Linked DNA regions of Arabidopsis thaliana. The protein of the gene in region 1 purifies or fractionates together with the protein of each later gene. This does not show direct contact. Each region holds a gene or a part of one and is shown on either strand. Other genes may lie near its edges.

The links. Proteins that work in one complex are often made in the same cells at the same time.
Region 2: the proteins of AT3G18190 (region 1) and AT5G23540 fractionate together in Arabidopsis thaliana (co-fractionation; one large-scale study listed by BioGRID). This does not show direct contact.

The regions. Positions count from the first base shown.
Region 1 is NC_003074.8:6,228,180-6,235,947, forward strand, and holds AT3G18190 (TCP-1/cpn60 chaperonin family protein), read left to right. Parts: upstream 1-3,928; 5' UTR 3,929-4,046; coding exon 4,047-5,657; 3' UTR 5,658-6,004; downstream 6,005-7,768. Other genes in the region: AT3G18170 (Glycosyltransferase family 61 protein), read left to right, coding at 1-53, 191-1,368; AT3G18180 (Glycosyltransferase family 61 protein), read left to right, coding at 2,091-2,247, 2,333-2,428, 2,540-3,699; UMAMIT4 (nodulin MtN21 /EamA-like transporter family protein), read right to left, coding at 6,330-6,495, 6,576-6,727, 6,822-7,215, 7,303-7,419, 7,519-7,581, 7,690-7,768. UniProt on the Arabidopsis thaliana protein: Molecular chaperone; assists the folding of proteins upon ATP hydrolysis. Known to play a role, in vitro, in the folding of actin and tubulin.
Region 2 is NC_003076.8:7,934,619-7,941,279, reverse strand, and holds AT5G23540 (Mov34/MPN/PAD-1 family protein), read right to left. Parts: upstream 3,651-6,661; 5' UTR 3,509-3,650; coding exon 3,379-3,508; intron 3,189-3,378; coding exon 3,011-3,188; intron 2,920-3,010; coding exon 2,838-2,919; intron 2,657-2,837; coding exon 2,480-2,656; intron 2,389-2,479; coding exon 2,221-2,388; intron 2,133-2,220; coding exon 1,941-2,132; 3' UTR 1,676-1,940; downstream 1-1,675. Other genes in the region: AT5G23550 (Got1/Sft2-like vescicle transport protein family), read left to right, coding at 370-423, 592-665, 795-912, 1,033-1,091, 1,288-1,366; AT5G23535 (KOW domain-containing protein), read right to left, coding at 4,153-4,235, 4,440-4,576, 4,665-4,768, 5,164-5,259, 5,350-5,409. UniProt on the Arabidopsis thaliana protein: Metalloprotease component of the 26S proteasome that specifically cleaves 'Lys-63'-linked polyubiquitin chains. The 26S proteasome is involved in the ATP-dependent degradation of ubiquitinated proteins.

The DNA of each region.
Region 1 (7,768 bases):
TTCGTTTAATTATACTACCAACACTACAATCTCCAAAGAAGAAGTTATTTCAGGTCAATATACTTCAAATTATTCTCTACAATTGTCTTCAAGTTGTTATGGTTTTTAGTCAATTTATTGATATTTTGTCTTGAAATTGTTATGGTTTAGTCAATTTATTGATAATTTTGTCTTTTGGGTGAATTTTCAGATGAAAATAAATTGGAGAAAACTATGAAACCTATATGCACCAAGCTAGCAAGAACAGAGTTCTGTGAATTAAACGGCGACGTAAGAGTCCACGGTAAGTCCGCGACTGTTTCTGCTGCGATCACGTTTGCGTTTTCGGGAAATTCCACGTGGCATATAAGACCTTACGCGCGAAAAGGTGACACGGTGGCAATGAAGCGCGTGAGAGAATGGACGGTGAAATTGGAACAAAACGCTGACCAATTAGAAAACGCTAATTTCTCGCGTTGCGTTAGGAATCACAGCGTTCCGGCGATGATTTTCTCTCTCGGAGGCTACTCGATGAACAATTTCCACGATTTCACCGATATAGTGATTCCTCTGTACACGACGGCGCGTCGATTCAACGGAGAAGTACAGTTTCTCGTGACGAACAAGAGTCCATCGTGGATCAACAAATTTAAGGAATTAGTGAGGAAACTCTCTAATTACGAAGTGATTTACATCGACGAAGAAGACGAAACGCATTGTTTCAGCAGCGTCACCGTCGGTCTCACTCGCCACCGTGAGTATTTCAAAGAGTTGACGATCGATCCTTCGAATTCGGAGTATTCAATGTCCGATTTCCGGAGTTTTCTAAGAGACACCTACTCGTTGAGAAACGACGCCGTGGCTACGAGACAGATCCGGCGGCGGAGGCCACGGATTCTGATTTTGGCTAGAGGCAGATCGCGAGCGTTCGTAAACACCGGCGAAATCGCGAGAGCGGCGAGACAGATCGGATTCAAAGTCGTGGTGGCGGAAGCGAACATCGGAATCGCGAAATTCGCGCAAACGGTGAATTCCTGCGACGTGATGCTCGGCGTTCACGGCGCGGGGCTGACGAACATGGTGTTCTTGCCGGAGAACGCGGTGGTGATTCAGGTTCTTCCGATCGGTGGATTCGAGTGGCTTGCGAAAACGGATTTTGAGAAACCTTCGGAGGGAATGAATCTGAGGTACTTGGAGTACAAGATCGCGGTGGAGGAGAGCACGCTGGTGAAGAAGTACGGACGCGACCACGAAATCGTGAGAGATCCATCGGCGGTTGCAAAACACGGGTGGGAAATGTTCAAATCGGTTTATTTGGTACAACAGAACGTGAGTATTGATATAAACCGGTTCAAGCCGGTTCTTGTCAAAGCTCTTGAGTTATTGTAGAGAGCCTAGAGGCAGTCGATGTAAATCATATATTTACCGCATCCATATACTGTAAATTCTTGTAGTTGGAATGTTGGATCGTAATATTGTTATCATAAAACAATTATATTTATCGAAATTTCTGAACTGTCAGTTATTATTCTGATGAGGCTCAATCGACTAACCAGAGTAAACCGATATCGATTAGAAAAAGAATTATGTGGCTTACACTAAATTTTATGTAACTTTTTACAGTTTTTTGGTCAGCTTTAATCTGTTTTGAATAGCTTTTCCCCCATTTAACGGATATTTTTGTCATGCTTTCTTTCCTTCTCTTATTTTGGTTGCAAATTAAATTGCATGTTTTAATGATTTCTGTAATTTTGATATGGAGCTAAATGACTCATCACTAACTCAATATGAAGCAAATAAAGAAAAAACTCCCAAGACTTCTCCTTCTTCCTTAAACTCTACCAATATAAGATCGAACCACTTTGAACATGCTCTAGCTAGTTCTCTTCTTTAAACCAGTACCCTTTATATTCATTCTCAATAACTAAAACGTTATAGTGAAAAAAAAAACACAGATAATATCGTCAAACAAATTCTTAAATACCTCACATAATCCTCTCGCTCTCCCACCTAGCTTGACCTTCATATCTCTACATTAGCCAGTAAACTCTGATTATAGAGTTTCTTGCTGAAGAAGAAAGAAAAGTTTTGTGTAACTTAAGAGTCAAGAGATGACAAAGAAGGATATTCTTTACGATACAGTACTTGCTCGTAGTTTTAGCAAAACTGATCAGAAGAGACTTTGCTGTGGAGCTTTCATTGCCTCTCTTCTCTTGGTCCTCACTCTTTGCACTGTCGTTAAACCTTATCTCAGCCCTTTACCAATCGGTAAGTCTCTTACCACGTTTTGCCGAAAAGCCAGATAACGCAAAAACAATCATTTTAACGTGTATCTCTTTCTTTCTTTCTTCAGTGGAGTTACAGTTATCAGTTGGCACTGGTCTAAGGATGCTGAGTATAACAGAATTAACTACCAACACTACAATCTCCAAAGAAGAAGTTATTTCAGGTCAATATACTTCAGAATTTTCTCTACAATTGTCTTGTTATGGTTTTTAGTCATTTTCTGTATAGTATGATACAGTTTGTTCTTTTGATTTTGTCCTGACTGAATCTTCAGAGTGCAATAAAATGGAGAAACCTATCTGTCACTGTAACACACTAGGAAGCAAAGAGTTTTGCGATGTAAGCGGCGACGTAAGAATCCATGGTAAATCCGCAACTGTTCTTGCGGCGGTCACGTTTGCGTTTTCCGGGAATTCCACGTGGTATATGAGACCTTATGCGAGAAAAGACCAAGTTCCTGCCATGAAACGCGTGAGAGAATGGACGGTGAAATTAGTACAAAACGCTAGTTTATCACGCTGCGTTAGGAATCACAGCGTTCCGGCGATTCTTTTCTCTCTCGGAGGCTTCTCGTTGAACAATTTCCATGATTTCACGGACATCGTGATTCCTCTGTACACGACGGCGCGTAGATTCAGCGGTGAAGTTCAGTTCCTCGTGACGAACAAGAATCTTTTGTGGATCAACAAATTTAAGGAATTAGTGAGGAAACTCTCTAATTACGAAGTGATTTACATCGACGAAGAAGACGAAACGCATTGTTTCAGCAGCGTCATCGTTGGTCTCAATCGCCACCGTGATTATGACAAAGAGCTAACGACTGATCCTTCGAATTCGGAGTATTCAATGTCCGATTTCCGGAAATTCCTCAGAGACACATACTCATTGAGAAACTCCGCCGTGACTACGAGGCGGAAGCCACGGATTCTGATTTTGTCTAGGAGCAGATCGCGAGCGTTTGTGAACGCGGGTGAAATCGCTAGAGCGGCGAGACAAATCGGATTTAAAGTCGTGGTGGCGGAAGCAAACACGGAAATCGCGAGTTTCGCAATAACTGTGAACTCCTGTGACGTGATGCTCGGCGTTCACGGCGCGGGGATGACGAACATGGTGTTCTTACCTGATAACGCGATCGTGATTCAGATTCTTCCGATCGGTGGATTCGAGTGGCTTGCAAAGATGGATTTCGAGTATCCGTCGAAGGGCATGAATCTGAGGTATTTGGAGTACAAGATCACGGCGGAGGAGAGCACACTGGTGAAGCAGTACGGACGCGATCACGAGTTCGTTAGAGATCCATTGGCCGTTGCAAAACGCGGGTGGGGAACTTTCAAGTCGGTTTATTTGGTACAGCAGAACGTTAGCGTTGATATAAACCGGTTCAAGCTGGTTCTTGTCAAAGCTCTTGAGCTATTGCATAATCAGTCAGTGTAAATAAGTAACTTTCAAGCATTCGTGTACTGTAATCTTGGGAACGAAATAATTACCAGATCATTTGGTCTAGTTTAGATTTTTCTCAAATTTGTTTAACCGTCCCCTTAACAAACACTCAAGTCTGAAGTCTGAACCAATAACTGGGCCTTTTGGGCTAACTCATAAAAACTCAAAACAGGCCCATTTATCAAACAATAGCGTATACCCTAGGGCTTTTTTCAAATTCTCTATTCTCTCTTTCATTTCCAGAACACTCTTGTCACACTTCCATTTAGGGTTTTCTGCAAATTTCTCCGTTCGAGATCAATTCCGTCGAGATCTCAAGCTCTCTCACTCGTAGTAAAAAAATGGCGGCGGTAGCGGCACCAATGGCTTCGAAGCCCCGTGGATCTAAAGCTGAATCGTTCGTAGACAACAAGCGGAGAGAAGATATCCGATTCGCGAACATCAACTCTGCTCGAGCAGTCTCTGACGCCGTCCGTACTAGTTTGGGACCGAAAGGAATGGACAAGATGATTTCCACGGCGAACGGAGAGGTAATCATTACTAACGATGGAGCTACGATCCTTAACAAGATGGAGGTTTTGCAGCCAGCGGCGAAGATGTTAGTCGAGCTTTCCAAATCTCAAGATTCAGCCGCCGGAGATGGTACCACAACTGTCGTAGTAATCGCCGGTGCGCTTCTCAAGGAGTGTCAATCGCTTCTCACAAACGGGATCCACCCTACTGTCATTTCAGATTCGCTTCACAAGGCGTGTGGTAAGGCGATCGATATTTTGACTGCCATGGCTGTTCCAGTGGAGCTCACTGATAGAGATTCACTTGTGAAATCTGCGAGCACATCGCTTAACAGTAAGGTTGTTAGTCAGTACTCTACATTGCTTGCTCCTTTAGCTGTAGATGCGGTTCTCTCTGTTATAGATCCGGAAAAGCCTGAGATTGTGGATTTGCGTGATATTAAGATTGTTAAGAAGCTTGGTGGGACTGTGGATGATACACATACTGTGAAAGGTTTGGTTTTTGATAAGAAGGTTAGCCGTGCTGCTGGTGGACCGACTCGTGTGGAGAATGCTAAGATTGCTGTGATTCAGTTCCAGATCTCACCTCCTAAGACTGATATCGAGCAGAGTATTGTTGTCTCTGATTATACTCAGATGGATAGGATCTTGAAAGAAGAGAGGAATTACATATTGGGGATGATTAAGAAGATCAAAGCAACTGGTTGCAATGTGTTGTTGATTCAGAAGAGTATTTTGAGGGATGCAGTGACTGATCTATCTCTTCACTATTTGGCCAAAGCTAAGATTATGGTTATTAAGGATGTTGAGAGAGATGAGATTGAATTTGTCACCAAGACATTGAACTGCTTGCCTATCGCCAATATTGAGCATTTCAGAGCTGAGAAGCTTGGCCATGCTGATCTTGTTGAGGAGGCCTCCCTTGGAGATGGAAAGATTTTGAAGATCACTGGTATCAAGGACATGGGGAGAACTACATCTGTTCTAGTTCGTGGCTCCAACCAGCTTGTTCTAGATGAAGCTGAAAGGAGTTTACATGATGCCTTGTGTGTGGTTAGGTGTCTAGTGAGCAAAAGGTTTTTGATTGCAGGAGGTGGTGCACCAGAGATTGAGCTCTCAAGGCAGCTCGGTGCTTGGGCTAAGGTGCTACATGGGATGGAAGGTTACTGTGTGAAGTCTTTTGCTGAAGCTCTCGAAGTTATTCCTTACACACTAGCCGAGAATGCAGGGTTAAACCCTATCGCCATTGTGACTGAACTCAGGAACAAGCATGCTCAAGGGGAAATCAACGCAGGGATCAATGTGAGGAAAGGACAGATCACTAACATCTTGGAGGAAAATGTTGTTCAGCCTCTGCTTGTGAGTACCAGTGCGATCACTTTAGCAACTGAATGCGTTAGGATGATTTTGAAGATTGATGACATCGTAACTGTGAGGTAGTGTGGTAGTTTCTTTCAAAACAGGTCCCAGAACACTTCTATTGCTCTATCTAAGCTTTTGTTTCGTTTTTTTCATGTGTTGTGCTTGCACAATGGTTTTGAACTTAGACTCCCTTTTCTTGCAACATGTGCTATTGCAGTTAAGTGGCTTTATTTGTGGTTTAGTGCGATTGTATTTCTTTCTAGTGACTTGTGATATCAAGATCTCTCAGTTTTTTTTGTTTCATATGTTGATTTAGTTTTGGTTATGAAAGTCCAAATGGTAGGAGTAGAAACAGAACTTTAATTACTGGGACTCAAATATTTGATGCATGATGGGTCACAAAATCAGTTGCCTATCTGGTTAATCATAGACTGGGTCACAAATGTTATAGATTCGTTGTATGAAAGATTAAGACAGTACACAGTTGCATGAACATGAGTTCTCCAGGTCATTGGTCTGTCTCCAACCAGACCGGATCAGAACATTTGCTTCTCTATTGTCAACTTTGATTTAATGTTACCATCTTTTCATTTTTATTCATAAATAAATTGCAACCCAATTTTGATTACAACTCAAAAGTAAACGACTAGGATATCAATTGTATGAGAGACCCACTTGAGGAGCCTGTGTGTTGGCCAAGTTCTTGTATGTGTATGTACAGAGAAGTAATGCGTTGTGTTTGCAGCACTTTTACACTTCAGATTCAGAATTACTCTTCTTGTGTTGTGCCTCAAGTAGATGTTTGGTCAGTGACTCTGGATCTTGTTGACTCTCTTCAAGAGCCAGTTTTCTTTCTTCGTTTTTGCCCCAAAGAACTAAGTAGAGCCCTAGCATTATAAACACTGCACCAACAATCCTGCAAAGCCAAAAAGATTCTATTAGATCGAGTAATCGAGAGAAACAAAACCCGATACATCCCGTTTTCAATGCGCTTACCCTCCCGAGTATAACTGATCACCAAGAATAAGAAACGCCATCGCAGCAACAAGAAGTGTCTGGAGAGGCTGGAAAACAGCGACAAAAACTGGACCGCTTTTGTAGATACACCATGTTTGAAGATAAACCACCAACCCTGACGCTATTATTCCCTGTAAACACGGCCAAAGGAACATTCATTTAGCTAATTTCCATTGATTCAGATCAAGGAAAAGGAAGAGAGAGAGACAGAGGGAGGGAGCTTACGGCGTATAGGATGGTGAAGAGCTCTTCCCAAGAGACGATGATCCAATTATTTAGATCAGTTTCCACAAAGAGAGCAATAACCAGAAACTGAATCAGACCAAAGAAACATGTGAAGGATGTTAAAGTGAGCTTCGCCGGGTATTGCTTTAGAACAGGAGCTTGAAGAACCATCCAACCAGCCCATGACAGACAATGTCCCATAAGGTATAACCATCCGAGTGTCAAGCTGTGCGAGTTGTCAGATCCGACCACCTCTTCCTTTTGCATGTTAAGGCCCTGGTCAAATATCGGAAATCCTCTGTACAATGTGATCACGGTGGCTCCACCGATGCTCACAAGAGTTCCCAATACTTTTGCCACACCATGTTTCCTGACCAGGTCTATGTGCTCTAGCCTTGATTCATAGAGGAAGATCAATGTTAGACCCAGCCATGAAAATGATTAGAATGGTATTTCTAGGAGGACGAAGTTGCTAGGGTACCTTAAGGCACAAGCCATGATGAAAGTGATGGCAGGAACAGAGTTCTGCATTGCGGAAGCAAAAGTTGGAGTTGCATAGTAAAGTCCTAATAGGTAGAATCCTTGGTTCGCTGTGATGCTGATGTTAAAATACACAAGCAAAGTTTCAGCATTATAATCATTGATTTAAGGATTGAGGAATCGGTTCTTATTATTGTGTTCTCAGGTTAAGCTATACCCTATGAGTGCCAAGAAGAAGAACTGAGCCAGTAAAGAGATTGTAAGTGGAGGTCTTTCTTTTCTGTTGATAAACAAAGCATTGTAAGAGTACTATCAACCAAAGAATACAATATTCAAACTTGAGATCGTACCAAAAAGCCCTAGAGCTCTGAAAGATGTGGAGGCTTACTTTTCGAAGAAGTAAGCGAAGGGACCTATGAGGAGAAGGGCAAGGAGATTCCTATAAACAGGGTACACAACTTTGCTGA
Region 2 (6,661 bases), on another chromosome or scaffold:
ATTTCACATGCGGACTAGGTATTCGTCCAATTAGAGAAGTTAGGCTCGTAAGCTCACTGAGGTAGAAATGTAAATGAGTTCCTATTGAATGCATATGATGTGATCAATAACATACAAGAGATTTTGAGATAAGTGTTTAGCAGTTCTATGATTTTTTGGAGGAGAAGGATTATAAAATTCCATGTGGTATGATAACAGTTTGATTAATAGGACTAAGTTTTGGCTTGCTACTACAAAAAATTAGGACGCTACTTGGATTTAGCTCCTCTATGAACCTGTAGTGTTGTCTCGTTTACAAGAATCTGTTAAATTATCTTGAATTGGGTTTGTCTTTGGCTAATATCTCGTTTTTTTTGTTTATGAAAACAGAGATTTTATGGCTTTGCAATTTGCTTGTCAGCAGGTTTGACCTGTACACTTTTGGTAAGTATAACTCTCAAGTCTTAGCAATGTTAGAAAGCACTATCCTTATTTCTGCATTGAAAGGAATCATTTGATTGGTTTAGCTGTATTCTTCTTCTGTACTTTGGGTTGTCTTAGCTCTTTTACTGGTGATATAACTCTTTATCTCTTATTTGTTTGACGATGCAGTCGATGCTTGTTTTCTTTAATCCGGTCAAGTTTGGCATCACATTCACTCTGGGAAATTTGATGGCACTCGGGAGGTTCGTATTGGAATTTTGTGTAGCTTCTTGTTATATTGCATTGGTGTCGCAATTCTGTGTGTACAGTATTTCTCCATTTTTCTCTCTTTGTTCCTGGATTTTAAGTTTCATGTCACTTTTGTATGGCAGCACAGCATTCCTTATAGGCCCACAGCGGCAGGTGACTATGATGCTTGACCCAGCTCGTATCTACGCTACTGCATTGTATCTAGCAAGCATTATCATTGCCTTGTTTTGTGCTCTTTATGTAAGTGGGGTTTCTCAATTCAAAATACTGGATGCACAACATTGCTTATGTTCAGTTAAAACTAGGTAGTGAAAATGCCTTGTTGGACTAAATATAATCTGTCATCATCTTTCTGTACAGGTTCGCAACAAGCTTCTGACACTGCTGGCTATCATTCTTGAGTTCACTGGTCTAATTTGGTATGCTAAAACTTGCTTTCAAGCTCTTACATTTTTATCCTAACTTTCTTAGTAATACAATTACATGATATATACTCTTCGAATAGTATATTATCCCGAGTGGACCTAATGCTCCTTATACGGTTTCTGAGTTTGTCACAAAAGCTGTCAACATTCATCTTGGAGAATGAATCCCTTGTGTTCTTTAAAACTGCAGGTATAGCTTGAGCTACATCCCTTTTGCAAGAACCATGGTCTCAAAGATCTTCATGACTTGTTTTGACACCGAGTTTTAAGCTACAGTTTACACACATCAGGTCAAAGATTTCTTGTTCCAAAACCTTGATGCTCTGGCTGAACGATTGGTCAATCTCCTCCAAATGTGTTCAAAGCAGGACTTGTTTGATGCACCGGTAACGTGCCATGCCCTTTATGGCTTATAATTGCCTCTTTACATCAAGTTCACGTCTTCACAAATCCTAGCACAGTTTTTTGTATATTTGCTGTGGAACTTAACGTAGATTTGGATGTTATTGCTGTTTGCTACAAAATTAAGATGTTAACTTCACTTGTTTTAGTTTCATTGTCATGGTTACGCTAAAGACTTAATCCAGGAGGGAAATTGCATATTCTTATCAAAAGCACTTAACTTGAAAGTTGCAGCATAAAATCTAAAAATGGGAGGAAAATAAAATCTGAAAATAATATGCAAAGAAATAGAAATCGATCCCTGCCCTTAACGAACGAAATCACATAGTACAGTACAACCTTGTAAAAAGCTAGCAGATAAAAAGAGAACATTCAGTAGAAGCCAAAGAGATGCAGAAGAACAAAGCTCAATGACTTGAAGCGGCTGGAGAAGTAAGCTCTCTAGAAGACAACAGTGTCGAGCATAGTGCCTAGTGTCTGAACAATGTTGGATGACATGAGGTTCGAGACATGTTCTTCCAGATGCTTCTTTGCATCTTGTCTTCCCACATTCACAATTGCCAGCTTCTCTGGTGACAACTCGTCCTCCTCTTGAACCGCCTTGTTATATTTAGCAGCCAAGCTCAACATCTCCTGTTAAACAGGAGATAATGAAAATGTCAATGAACATGATTGTAGAATATGCTTGAACAGATAAAAACATAACCCTGTGTTTCTTTACCTGGACCGTCTGTTCGTTGGTCTTGGAGTGGGTGTCAAAGCGTCTTAGCGTCAGACCATCTGTCCATTTCTTCTTGTGGAGGTTGAGTAACATCTTCTCCTCAAGCTCGTTCTTCCTATAGTTGATTGCTATTGAGTAATAGTGTCTGTTCAACCCGTGAATCAAAGCCTGCATAGTAGTATCCAAAAGTCAGTATCAGAGAAAACCTTTGATTTCGTTTCAACTTAAAAACAGGACACATTCAGTTAGTGATAATCACCTGGATCGATGGTTTGTTCAAGTGCCCAAGGTTCGATGTTGTTTGACGGGGTTCCTGCCCAAGCATAATGGTCTGTGGATTTATGGAGCGGAACGCATCAATCACCACCTTTCCTTTCACACTCTGAATCGGATCTACCACCACTGCTACAGCTCGCTGATTCAAAGCTTCAAAACTCTACAAAAGCACACAGATATTCACAATGAACATATATAATACAAAGTGAATCACAACAGGGTATAGAACACAATGAGTAACATTCTATTTAGTTTTTTGAGCCATCAATAAAGCAAACAACAAATTCTCAAGTGCAATTCACAAATTGATAAGTATGCAAACAGAGCAAACAAAACTCTACCTGTTGAGTATTAATGTCAACCCCAGAAAGCCAGCAGCCGAATCCAGGATGTGAATGATACCAACCAACCACCATCTCAGGTCTGAAACAAGATACAAGAAGAATCAGATCCAAAACCTAAATAGGAAACCTCACTTAAGCGTAGTAAATAGGTTTAGAGAAGAACTAGTTACCTTCCGGTCTGTTTAAGCATGTCGAGCATATTAGTCTGGAAAACATGATCAACAGCTTCAACACTAACACCAGTACCACTCTGAGGCATCGCAAAAACATCCACAACCCTAACAGTGTATTCATCCACAAACTCTCCAAGCATCAATCCCATGACTTCCATAGGAACACCAGCTCTTCCTGCAATATTCCGATCAATTTTCATTAAATCTCTACTCAAATCCGCATTTTGAATCTCAGAAACAGATCGAATAAAACCCTAGAGTTCCAGAGCAAAAGAGGACGAGAGTAAAATCACAGAGAACGAGACAAAATCATAAAACCCTAAGCAAGAGAAGACTAAATTAGAGCTTGGGTTTGGATTGATTACCGTGCTTAAGCATCTTGAGGAGAGCGAGAGAAGAGATGTAAACCTGCTCCGATGTATCGAGAGTCGGAGAATCAGGCGATGCGTGACCTAAACCGCCACCAGCTCCGAAGATTCTCTGTAGTCTCTCCATAATCAGATGAATTGATTAGTCGTCTTCTTCGAAAGTTTGTTCTTCTGGGTTTTTGCTACAAGAATGGGATCTTATAAGAAAACCTTTCTCAGTTTTCTTTGTTAACAAGACAGACGAAGATGGATCGAATTACTCGATTAGGCGACACTAATTACATATAAGTCCTTCAATATTTCCTTTTATTTATTGTAACCAATAATTCACCAAATTTCCAAATCATCCCCAAAAATAAAAGTTAATAACCAATTTGAATTTCCATATTTTTTTTGTCAAAATTTTAAATTTCATTACAATGCAAATCATGTCATTGTGTTAATATTGTTAATTCGGTTGCATAATATAAATCTACTTTACTTAGAGCTTATAGTTTTCGTTTTATGTTTAGACTTCTGGCTAGTGTATATACAATAACTAAACATGTAAATATTGAACTGTTTTCCAGACGGATTTTATTTGGCACCTTGAAAGTTCACAAGATCAATGAAAGAAAAAAGGAAAACGACTCCGTTTCAGTCATGATCAAAGGTTCTCCAACAAAACCTCACAGCTCTAGACCGAAATCAAACTCTAATGGATGGGAAAAAGAAGAATCCTTTTTGAGAGCAGGCAACATTTTCCAAACGAAACTGTAGAGAGGTTTCAACTCAAAGATCAGGCATGCCCTTTCCAGTTTTAGCATCATATGTCTGCTCCCAGACAAACTCCATTGGTGTGTCCTTAGGGCCAGCTGCAAAGAGAAAAGTATGAATCCTTCTATAAGAAAACCGCTACTATCAAGTTTGTTGATTATGTTGATAGCAAACGAATTATGTTGATTCTATGTTTATCTTATAGCCGATCTATGATTATGTTTTTTTCTCAGATAGCTAACAGACTTCCACTATATATTTCCAAAATCCAACGTTTAAAGAGATATTGAGCTTCTATGTACCAGTTGTGGGTCGCGGCGTTGCCCTTATCTTTAGAATCTCTGGTCGGGGAATTATGGAACCAGATGTGCCAGTGCCTCTGGCTACTCTTACTTTTGTTCCATCTTCTAGGTATTTTACACCAACCTTACAAGGCCTCCTGTGGTAGAAAAGATAATAGATTAATAAGTGATCTCTCGCTTGAGCAAAAGAGTAATTGGAGACAGTAGTGCAGAGTGAAATCATACCCAGTGACAGGATCAACAACTTGGACATTTGAGGCGTGAAGAGGAGCCTCTACAGTGAAAATTCCACCTTCGTGATCAGGGCCTCCCTTTATATGTTTCTTGATCTGAGAACACAGGAAAAAAAAAGCATCAGCGAAAAACATATACAAGCTTCAGTGAGTAGACAAAGACTATCCCAGCAGCAAGGTAGAACATCCAAAACGATAACAGTTTCAAGATAAACAATTCAAAAGAATTGTGTAGCGAAATCCATGGAACTAGAGTCGCTTTGTGATTTAGTAACCGTCTACTTGATGCTTGGATTAAAAAAATGAGAATCAAATGAAAATTGATAACTCTATGGTTGGTGTTGAGCTAGTGATATGATATTGATTCAGTACTAGTTCATACTCTACAAACCAAATCAAGAACAAAAAAATCAAAAAATGAACTTGTACATTCATTCTCTAAATGCATGAGACAGAGCGAACAAAAGATATCCAGAACAAGACTATCTCACCAGATTCTTCCCTTCAACGATGACACGATTTTGGGATCGAATGACACGCTTTATGGTTCCAGTCTCACCCTTATCTTTCCCACGAATTATCATTACCTGCACATAAAATCATACCCCAGAAACAACAGATCAAAAATGAAACCAAACTAATGAACACCACAAGAAGAACATGAGTGGTGTACTCACATTGTCTCCTCGAAGTATCTTCCAGTGTCTGATGAGTTTCTCAGCAGCTTTCCAGCCCATAGCTGCTACTCTCTTTGAGAATAATCCTAAAAATTACATCACAACAAATTCACGTCTTTCTTCTAACAAAAAAAACAACGAGAAACGGAAAGCATGAAGAATCCAAATCAAAGAAATTGAAAATGGCAGGGCCAATTTCGAGGGTTTTCAACTGCGGAAAGCCACCTAAATTAGGGTTTTTTCACGTCAAAGATACGCAACCAAAAAATTTATACATAATTCCGATCTAATTCGAAAAGGGAGAAAATTGATGATTAGAAATGATATCGCCGAAATTGACAATTAGGATGCGAAAACAAGTTTGGTCTAATAGAAGAAGCTTGCCTCTGAGAATTAATCGAGAGATCGAGGAAGAGGAAACCAATGGAGTTGAAGCTTTTTTGTTTTCCGCCGACGGTGCAGGCAGCGTTAACCACGGTGGCGAAGAAGTCGTCAGTATTTTGATTGTGAGTGTAAAAAAGATAAACCCTAAAACCTCTCATGTCTTCAAACATTAAAACGACACCGCATTCGCAATTTGGCCAAAAAAATTATAAGTCACTAACTAATTAGGTATTAACGATTTTAATTAATTGGGATGAGACGATATATGCTCTGTTTTCTTTTCTTTACTAGAGATGCACTGTTGATGTATTATTAGAGACCAAATTTTTTGTATTCCGATGTGTTAGAAGTTCACATTTTTATATGGTTTGAACTTGGAAGGTAACTACGGGATTAAATATGCCTGGATTATATCGTGTATCTAAATCATGATGGTGTAAATTCGTTCTTGTTTTGCTTTTTGCTTTGAATGGATGTTGTAGTTAGTGCGGACTAATCCGTAGCGGTTTAGTCCATACCATTTTTGGGTCGGACAACAAACCGATGCGGACTTAGTTTAAAGACTGTCCGCAGTTAGTCCGATGCGGTTGTCTTCTATTTTTTTTAAGTATGTACTATTACGGATTATAATTTATGAATGGTAAATAAAAAGCGGTCCGGTCTATAAACGGTTTTGTCTGTTTGGACCGCTGTAATCATTCAAAGTTTGTTTTTACAAATTTACCCATGACCACTGTTGAATCTAACATAGAGAAGAATTGAATGAGATTGAAAATTAGTTGATGCAGGTTTCTGACATTAGAAATTACTTGCCTCCTGCAACATGTACATTGATTGAATCTACTTGCTCTTATGTGACTCCATTGCGTTGGCCATGTGACATGACTTCATCGACATTCAACACTGTAGTAGAAGAAAACTAGTGACT